Cricetulus griseus: one gene and its partner. The protein of the gene in region 1 purifies or fractionates together with the protein of each later gene. This does not show direct contact. Links are inferred from orthologs where the notes say so. Each region holds a gene or a part of one and is shown in the gene's direction. Other genes may lie near its edges.

The links. Proteins that work in one complex are often made in the same cells at the same time.
Region 2: the proteins of insulin receptor substrate 4 (region 1) and Tuba1a purify together in Homo sapiens (affinity purification with mass spectrometry; 3 studies listed by BioGRID and IntAct, with this or other methods). This does not show direct contact. The link is inferred for Cricetulus griseus from reciprocal best matches to the Homo sapiens genes IRS4 and TUBA1A.

The regions. Positions count from the first base shown.
Region 1 is NC_048604.1:38,769,590-38,773,920, forward strand, and holds the start of insulin receptor substrate 4, read left to right. Parts: upstream 1-1,484; coding exon 1,485-3,051; intron 3,052-3,084; coding exon 3,085-4,331. UniProt on the Homo sapiens protein: Acts as an interface between multiple growth factor receptors possessing tyrosine kinase activity, such as insulin receptor, IGF1R and FGFR1, and a complex network of intracellular signaling molecules containing SH2 domains.
Region 2 is NC_048595.1:395,417,835-395,422,269, reverse strand, and holds the start of Tuba1a (tubulin alpha-1A chain), read left to right. Parts: upstream 1-1,550; 5' UTR 1,551-1,647; coding exon 1,648-1,650; intron 1,651-2,935; exon of another isoform or gene 2,936-3,230; coding exon 3,231-3,453; exon of another isoform or gene 3,454-3,590; coding exon 3,591-3,739; exon of another isoform or gene 3,740-3,796; intron 3,797-3,995; coding exon 3,996-4,435. UniProt on the Homo sapiens protein: Tubulin is the major constituent of microtubules, a cylinder consisting of laterally associated linear protofilaments composed of alpha- and beta-tubulin heterodimers.

The DNA.
Region 1 (4,331 bases):
TTATTTTTGTGATGTCAATTTGTAAACTGAAATGAAGCAAAGACCTTCTTGAAGTGAAGAATGTAAAATATATTCGAGGACATGTATTCAGCACAGTCCTTTGTTCTACATAGGAGCTTTCTTTTTGTAAAGTTTTCCAGTCTGCTTCAAGGAAAAAAAAAGTTAGTATTTGTTAATTCCTTAAAAGGCACCGTTCAAAGCACTGCCCTCGAGAAAATATCATGACAGCTCAACACTCTTTTTCGGTAAGATTCAAGTCCGGCTTTTTCCAACATGGCTGTACACTTTGCAGGCCCCCAAATTTGTACTTTCATAGTCGTCATCAATCAAATAGAAACGCTACCTCTAGCGAACCTGTTTCGTGGATTGGAAATACACTGTGTACAGATGGCGTTAATTTTGAAGGCATAGCTGCTATTCCTGAGTCTTAAGAGTCGCTGGCTTTTGTCAGGTGTGGAGCGGGCGAGGAAGCGTGTGCAGCTTTGGCGTGCAGCAGGTCTGAGGACCCAGGTCTTTAACAGGTTTCCAGAGATTATTGACACTTTCGGCTAAGGAGCACAGTTCATAGTGAGAAGCGGGAGGGACTAGAGCAGACTGCCATCAGAAAGGAAAATGTTTGTGAGCTGTAGGGAGGCAAGAGAGAGCTCTCCAGGCAGAGGGGTCCCCATGGCTCTGGGATTTGCAGGAATTTATCACCACCATTAACAGCTATTTTCCGAGGGTTGTTTACTGCCTGATCCTGAGACAACCAGATTGAGAAGCCCACTCTGGGACCCCAGCCACGCCCCCTCATCTCCGTCCCCCCCCCCTTTCACTAAACTAATGAATACAGGGCCACCCCCTTGCTGGACCCTCCCATTGGCTCGTATCCTAGCCAATCAGAACCTTATAAAGGTTTCACCTAGTTCCCCCCCCCCGCTTCCTAAATAAACAAACAAACCATTCCTCACTGTGCAAGTCCCATCTCCCCTCACCACCTCTAGCCCCCTTCAGCCTATCGAGTGTGGGCTGTGACTCCCCATTCTGGCCCGGTGGCGGGACGCTCTGTTCTCCACCCTTCACATCCACCCACTGCCCCAGCCTTCTGGTACTCAGGACTAGGCTTGGTCTGGCTAGAGAGCCCCGCCTCCTCCCGTCGGTTCTGCCCAGGATCAAAGGCACAGTGATTTGTCCAAAGGGTCTCTGCCAATTTGAAGATGCCTCTGCCTCCGTGGCCCCCGGTGCCCCTTCCTTGCACACCTCTACTGGTGGCCACTTGCTCCCCGCCACCGCTCGGGTAGCTGGATCTGGAGAGGGCTGCCGCGTGAGGCGACAGTCACGTGTTGTTTTGCCCGCCGCTGTGAGCCCAGCGAAGTGGGCGGGGACGCGGGTCTAGGCGGGAGGGGTCTGGGGCGGGCAGACAGGGGGGACCTCCTCTTCCCCCAGCCCTCCCTTCTCGAGCCCCCCCTCTCCTCCGCTCACCTTAAAAACCACGGTGCATCCCCATGGCGAGTTGCTCCTTCGCTGGCGACCGAGCACTAAGGAGACTGAGAGCTGCAGCAGCAGCAGCCTCCACAGCTCTAGCAGCAGTGGCGACCACCCGGCGTCGTTCCTCGGGAACCCCGACCGCACTCATTGGGACCCGGTCGTCCTGTCCGGGAGCTATGTGGCTCCCCACGGCCACTGGCTCCCGGTCAGACTCCGAGTCCGAAGAGGAGGACCTCCCCGTCGGGGATGAAGTCTGCAAACGCGGCTACCTGAGGAAACAGAAGCATGGGCACAGGCGTTACTTCGTGCTCAAACTCGAGACCGCAGACGCCCCGGCTCGTCTGGAATACTACGAAAATGCCAAGAAGTTCCGCCTCAGTGTCCGCGCCGCGGCGGCTGCGGCAGCAGCTGCCGCCTCGGGTGCTGCGGTCCCCGCGCTCATCCCACCGAGACGCGTGATCACCCTGTACCAGTGCTTCTCCGTGAGCCAACGAGCTGATGCCAGGTACCGACACCTTATTGCCCTTTTCACCCAGGACGAGTACTTCGCGATGGTGGCCGAGAACGAGTCGGAACAAGAAAGCTGGTACTTGCTCCTCAGCCGCCTCATCCTCGAGAGCAAGCGCCGCCGCTGCGGCTTGCTAGGCGCGCAGCCGGACGGAGAGCCGGCGGCCCTGGCGGCAGCAGCGGCGGCGGAGCCACCCTTCTACAAAGATGTGTGGCAGGTAGTAGTGAAACCCAGGGGGCTGGGGCACAGAAAAGAGCTGAGCGGCGTGTTCCGGCTGTGTCTTACCGACGAAGAGGTTGTGTTTGTGAGGCTCAATACCGAAGTGGCCAGTGTGGTCGTCCAGCTGCTGAGCATTCGTCGCTGTGGGCACTCAGAGCAGTACTTCTTCCTGGAAGTCGGCAGGTCCACTGTCATCGGTCCAGGGGAGCTGTGGATGCAGGTAGATGACTGTGTGGTGGCCCAAAATATGCATGAGTTGTTTTTGGAGAAGATGAGAGCCTTGTGCGCAGATGAGTACAGAGCCCGATGCCGCAGCTACAGCATCGGCGTTGGCGCCCACCTGTTAACCCTGCTGTCCACTAGGAGGCACCTGGGCTTGCTCCCGCTGGAGCCCGGCGGCTGGCTCCGAAGATCCCGCTTTGAGCAGTTTTGCCACCTCAGGGCTATCGGAGACAGGGAAGAGATGTTCTTTACCAGACGCCTCATACTCAACGAGCCTCTGCCTCCCTCCAGGCGAGAAAGGGGGCACCTGCCCAGAGCCCGCAGGTCCAGGAGAGCTGTTTCAGGACCACCCAGCTTTTCCCGCCGCCTAGCACCTAGCCCGCCGGTACGTGTCTCACACCCTGAAGAAGCCTCTTACGACAGAGCTTGTGAAGCCTCGGGCTCCAACTCTGGCAACTCTGAAGAAAAAGACAAGGAAGGTGAGGAAGAAAACGAAGGTGATTACATGCCCATGTACTACTGGGGCTCAGGAAATGGCCGGGGCTCTGGAGGTGGACAGGGCTCAAGTGGCCAAGGCTCCAGCAGCCAGAGCTCAGGAGGAAACCAGTGCTCAGGTGGCAGTCAGGGATCTGGAGGTGGCCAGGGCTCAGGAGGCCGGGGTTCAGGAGGTCAGGGTGCTGGAGGAAACCAGTGTTCAGGAAATGGCCAGGGCACAGCAGGTGGCCATGGATCAGGTGGAGGCCAGAGGCCTGGTGGTGGCCATGGCTCAGGTGGTGGCCGGAGACCTGGAGATGGTCATGGCTCAGGTGGCGGCAAGAACTCAGGAGGAGGCAAGGGCTCAGGAAGTGGGAAAAACTCGGATGACGGTGACCGTGGAAAATCTCTGAAGAAAAGATCATACTTTGGTAAATTCACTCAAAGCAAGCAACAGCAAATGCTGCCTCCACCTCCTCCTCCACCCCCGCCAGCCGGAGGAGCAACTGGTGGAAAAAGCAAGTCTGGGGGAAGATTCCGACTTTATTTTTGTGCAGACAGAGGGGCCACAAAAGAACGCAAAGAAGCCAAAGAGAGGAGAGATAGGGAAACTCCAGAAGGTGCCACCCGGGGGCCTCACAGAGCCAGAGCTTTCGATGAAGACGAGGATGACCCATACGTGCCAATGAGGCCAGGGGTGGCTTCCCCTCTTGCATGTTCCAGTGACTACATGCCAATGGCACCTCAAAATTCCTCTGCTTCAAAAAGCCGCCACTCTAGGTCACCATTCGAAGATTCCAGAGGATATATGATGATGTTTCCCAGAGTGAGTCCACCACCACCTGTCCCAAGTCCCCCCAAAGCACCGGATACTAATAAAGAGGATGACTCTAAGGACAATGACAGTGACAGTGACTACATGTTTATGGCTCCTGGAGCAGGTGCAATTCCTAAAAATCCCCCCAATCCTCAGGGAGGCTCTTCCTCCAAAAGTTGGAGCTCTTACTTTTCTCTGCCGAGTCCTTTTCAGAGTTCACCTTTGGGACAGAGCGACCACAGTGAGTATGTCCCAATGTTGCCTGGGAAGTTCCTGGGGAGGGGTGTAGACAAAGAAGCCTCCTTTAGCCAGGGCACCAAAGATGTGTCTTCAAAGCCTTCCACTGAGGGCTCATTCTCAAAACCTGGAGATAGGGAGTCACCTGCAAAGCCTTCAGATGACGAGCCCCCAGTGAACAAGGCTAAGAGACCTAACCGACTTTCTTTTATTGCAAAAGGAAACAAAATCAAGCCCAAACCAGAAGAGCCCACACAGGAGCAGAGAGGAGCTGACAGCTCTGGTGACTATATCAACACTGACTTCATTAAGAGAGAGCGCCCTGTGCCAACTCCCTCTGCTCAAGGACTGCCAGATTCATGGGGCTTAGTTACTGACCCCAGACGC
Region 2 (4,435 bases), on another chromosome or scaffold:
GACTCCATAGAGTCCACTGGAAATAGTCTGCCGAAAACCAAGACTCTGCTATGAAAACTAAAAGGGAAATCATCTGTCAAAATCCAAATTTTCAGCTTGGTGCCCAAACAAATATCTCTTAACCTCTGAAATTTCTTCCAGCAAATATTCAGTGGTCTGCAGCTCAGAGACATGCTTTATATAGACCATCCTGGCCGATAATGGAGGCTTTCTAAATAGAAAGAATGCCACTGTAATCCATTTCCTAGGGGTGAAAGCAAGGCATTTTTGTCCCAATGGCCAATTGAGCAACAACCACAGACTCTAGCTGAATAGCAGTGGTGTGAGGAGCTACTGTTCCCACAGTTAGAAGCCCAACTGCAGAAGGGGCTATTTACAGAATTTAGGGAACTACGTAAAATGAACTGCAGACGGGCTGACATTGCACAGTTGTCTGGGATGAAAGCAACATTACAAAATGGTTTCCTTTTATATTATATAACTCTTCTCTGTTTTTAAAAATTTGGTATCTCAGTCATGTTTTACTTGATATCACCCCTCCCCAAAGAAGAGCAATGCAGAAATATAAGCCCACGCAAAGAAAGAGCTAGTTTTAAAACTCAATTCTTTCTCCTTATAGTTTCGGAACCCTGTATTGGAAAGGATAGCTCATTTCTACAGATAAAATAGCACAGGCTCGGGGGAGGGGAGTGGGTGTGGAGGGGTGGTAGGGAGTGCTGTCCGTAAACAAAGCTAGCTCTATGGTGAACTATAAATTCTGTTTTGTATATTATTTCTCTTTAGTTCGTTCTCTTTTGCTTTTTTGTGACATGATCACACACTATAATCCACGCTGGCCTCAAACCAGCTGTAATCCTCCAGCCTCAGCTCCTCCAAGGTTGGGATTTACGTGCCAGTTAGGGTGACCTTGAACTGCAGATCTTCCTGCCTCTGAACCCCAGCTGCAGTTTAGATTACGATGCTGGCCTATTCTTAGTGGGCTTCTGAATCTTGTTCAAACAACAGTAACAATAACTGTAAACATCGGCATTTACCCAAGCCGTTTGGACCATCATTTCTATCTCTGCTGGTTTTTTAAAAGCAATTAAAGACTTTGGATCCTGAGGGAATATGGTCAAATTTAGTGTACTGTGTATGAAATGCTGGAATTTTCTATTAAAAAAAAAAAACCATAAAGTCTGTGATTAAGTGTAGGGGAAAACCTTGGATTATTTTAACTATAGTTTAAGGTTTAAGTCATGTATAATCACCCAGCCCCGATTTTCTTTCTTCCCTTCCCTCCCCTCCCCTCCCCTCCCCAGCCCCACCCCATAATGGATGCTCCGCTAGTTGCATTTGCTCAGCCTTTGTCTGAGGATGCAAAGTCTACGGATGCTAGGGGGAAGGGGTGGGGGAGAGATTACCTCATACCATGTCGCTTGCACCAATCACCACTCTCCTGTCGCGGCTTCTCTGGGCAGACGGAGGGGTCTGGACCAACAGGAAAAGGCCGTGGCCCATCCCCATGGTGACCGAGCTGTATATAAGGAGCCGCATCCGCCCATGTGCCGCAGGTTCTCTTACATCGACCGCCTAAGAGTCGCGCTGTAAGAAGCAACACCTCCTCCTCGCCTCCGCCAACCTCCGGGCAGCCGCAAAGCAGCAACCATGGTGAGCCAGCCTTCTTCCCTGGTCCTCCGTAACTGGGTGGAATCAGTCTCCCGAGATCTTCAAGGGAAAGCCTAAGTCTTTGTCACCCCTGCGGGGAAGGGTGGTCTCAATGCTTTGTTAAGTTGAGCTTTGCGCGGAGTCCGTAAATCCCGCAGCCGCAGTGCGGGGCAGGGAAACGCCCAGACCCGGGGAAGAACAAAGGCTCCTGCGAGTGTTTGCTCGCACAGCCTGGGCCGTCAGGGCGGGGGTTCACGGCTAGAGGGGTGCGCTGCGGCGGGCGAGCAGGGCGGCGGCCGAGCCCTCACTCCAGAAACGCCGCCCCACTTCTATGGGAAAATGGTTAGTTTGCGTCGGATCCATGGCAGCCGGTGTCAGGGAGGCGCAGGGGCGGGGTTGTTTGTCTCTTGCTTCCGTGGCGTTTTGGGAGGGGTTCGCCCTCTCTAAACTTCCCTCGGGAGTGGTTTTTGTATTTTTATTTTTAAAAAATTGCTGTGGAACTGTAATCTTACAAGAGGTTTTGTTTGCTTGAGTGTCAAAAGTACGATTTACTTAACACCAGGACATCTCGCTGGGGAGAGAGGGGCTGGATAGTTGGTGAGGTTGCCTCGACTACCCTGATTGTCAGAACCCAGGGAAACGCCCTTCCCCACCCCCCACCCCCGCAGACAATGAAAGTTGTAGCTTTAAAGACAATAGAAAACTATCTCTATAGAATAAATAATACTAATATATTATGTGGTATGTAAAGATTCATCGAATAAAATACCATTTTCTAGTTTTAAATGTTATCTTTTTACTCGGTTTTTATTGTTGGCCCTTGTTTCTAACTTAGCTTTAAGAATATTTTGCTTCTATATAGTGGAAAAGATTCTGGAAAATCTTCATTATCTAATGAAACTGCTGCAAGGAAAAAAATTATACTCCGTATCCAACTGTCTTTTGTTCTAATACATCTTCACTAATTCATTATTTCAGGCAAATGGCCCAGACAGGGTTAAGAGGGTTAGGAAACTGAAAGCAGCGAGGGGATCGTATAGACAGCTGCTGGAAATAGAGCTTTCTCTGTTAAATAATGTAACAAAGGGCACAGGCTAGCACCAGGCACAGCAGACACAGCAATGCAGAAGTCACACTTTGTCTAGTGCTGATGAGTTCTGCAGAAGGGTGTGGCTCCTGCCCGCAGCCGCAGTACTGATGTCCATGTTGAAATACCAGATCACAAAAGATGAAGCATTCATCTTTACTTATCAGGAAAAGAAGCAATTAAAATAATTCCAGACAATTATTTCACTTTACAGTATCAGTGTATTAAGTATTTTTCGAACATGAAAACTCTTCTATTTAAGTATGGCTGTGAGAACAATGGGTTTGCACCAAGTCTTAGTATTAAGGTGACATTATTCAGACCACACCCCTTTGCAGTATTTGTATCAGGTACTCATTATTGTTTCTGTCATATGAGGGATATGACTCCAAATAAATTTCAACAATATTTGTGTTATTAGAAACACTTTAGAAATCTATTAAAATCTAAAATAGAAATACAGCTTAATTTCATAATTTTTCCCCCTTTTCCACAGCGTGAGTGCATCTCCATCCACGTTGGCCAGGCTGGTGTCCAGATCGGCAATGCCTGCTGGGAGCTCTACTGCCTGGAACATGGCATCCAGCCTGACGGCCAGATGCCAAGTGACAAGACCATCGGGGGAGGAGATGACTCCTTCAACACCTTCTTCAGTGAGACAGGCGCTGGCAAGCATGTGCCCCGGGCCGTGTTCGTAGACCTGGAACCCACAGTCATCGGTAAGTGGGCCAGGGGTTTCCCTGAGGCATTCTGTCCTGGTCACATACTCAGAACCTCTCCACACACCGCCGAAGAGTGAGTGAGCTTGTGTGTGTCAGTTACTGTTGTGAATGGTTGATTTCATCTCCTTTTCCAGATGAAGTTCGCACTGGTACCTACCGCCAGCTCTTCCACCCTGAGCAGCTCATCACAGGCAAGGAAGATGCTGCCAATAACTATGCCCGTGGCCACTACACCATCGGCAAGGAGATCATTGATCTTGTCTTGGACAGAATTCGCAAGCTGGTAAATACCATAGATGGATGGGTTCATTTAAAATGCAGTGTGGGGGAGTGTTGGGACCTGCCAAAATAAGTAAAGTCTGTTCACTACATTAATTAAGTAGACTTGTACATGTGGTCTATGGGTCATGAGATCATTTTTAATACCAATTCACAATTTTTTCCTTTCAAGTAAATGTGGTTTGCCATCTTGAGGAATTGCAAGCAGTGCTGAGAGTATGCCCTGTTGATAAACAATGCCTGTTCTTTTTTTCCTACAGGCTGACCAGTGCACAGGTCTTCAGGGCTTCTTGGTTTTCCACAGCTTTGGTGGGGGAACTGGCTCTGGGTTCACCTCCCTGCTGATGGAGCGGCTCTCTGTCGATTATGGAAAGAAGTCCAAGCTGGAGTTCTCCATCTACCCAGCCCCCCAGGTTTCCACTGCTGTGGTTGAGCCCTACAACTCCATCCTTACCACCCACACCACCCTGGAGCACTCTGATTGTGCCTTCATGGTAGACAACGAGGCCATCTATGACATCTGTCGTAGAAACCTCGACATTGAGCGCCCCACCTACACTAACCTAAATAGGTTGATAGGTCAAATTGTGTCTTCCATCACTGCTTCCCTCAGATTTGATGGAGCCCTGAATGTTGACCTGACAGAATTCCAGACCAACCTGGTACCCTACCCTCGCATCCATTTCCCTCTGGCCACATA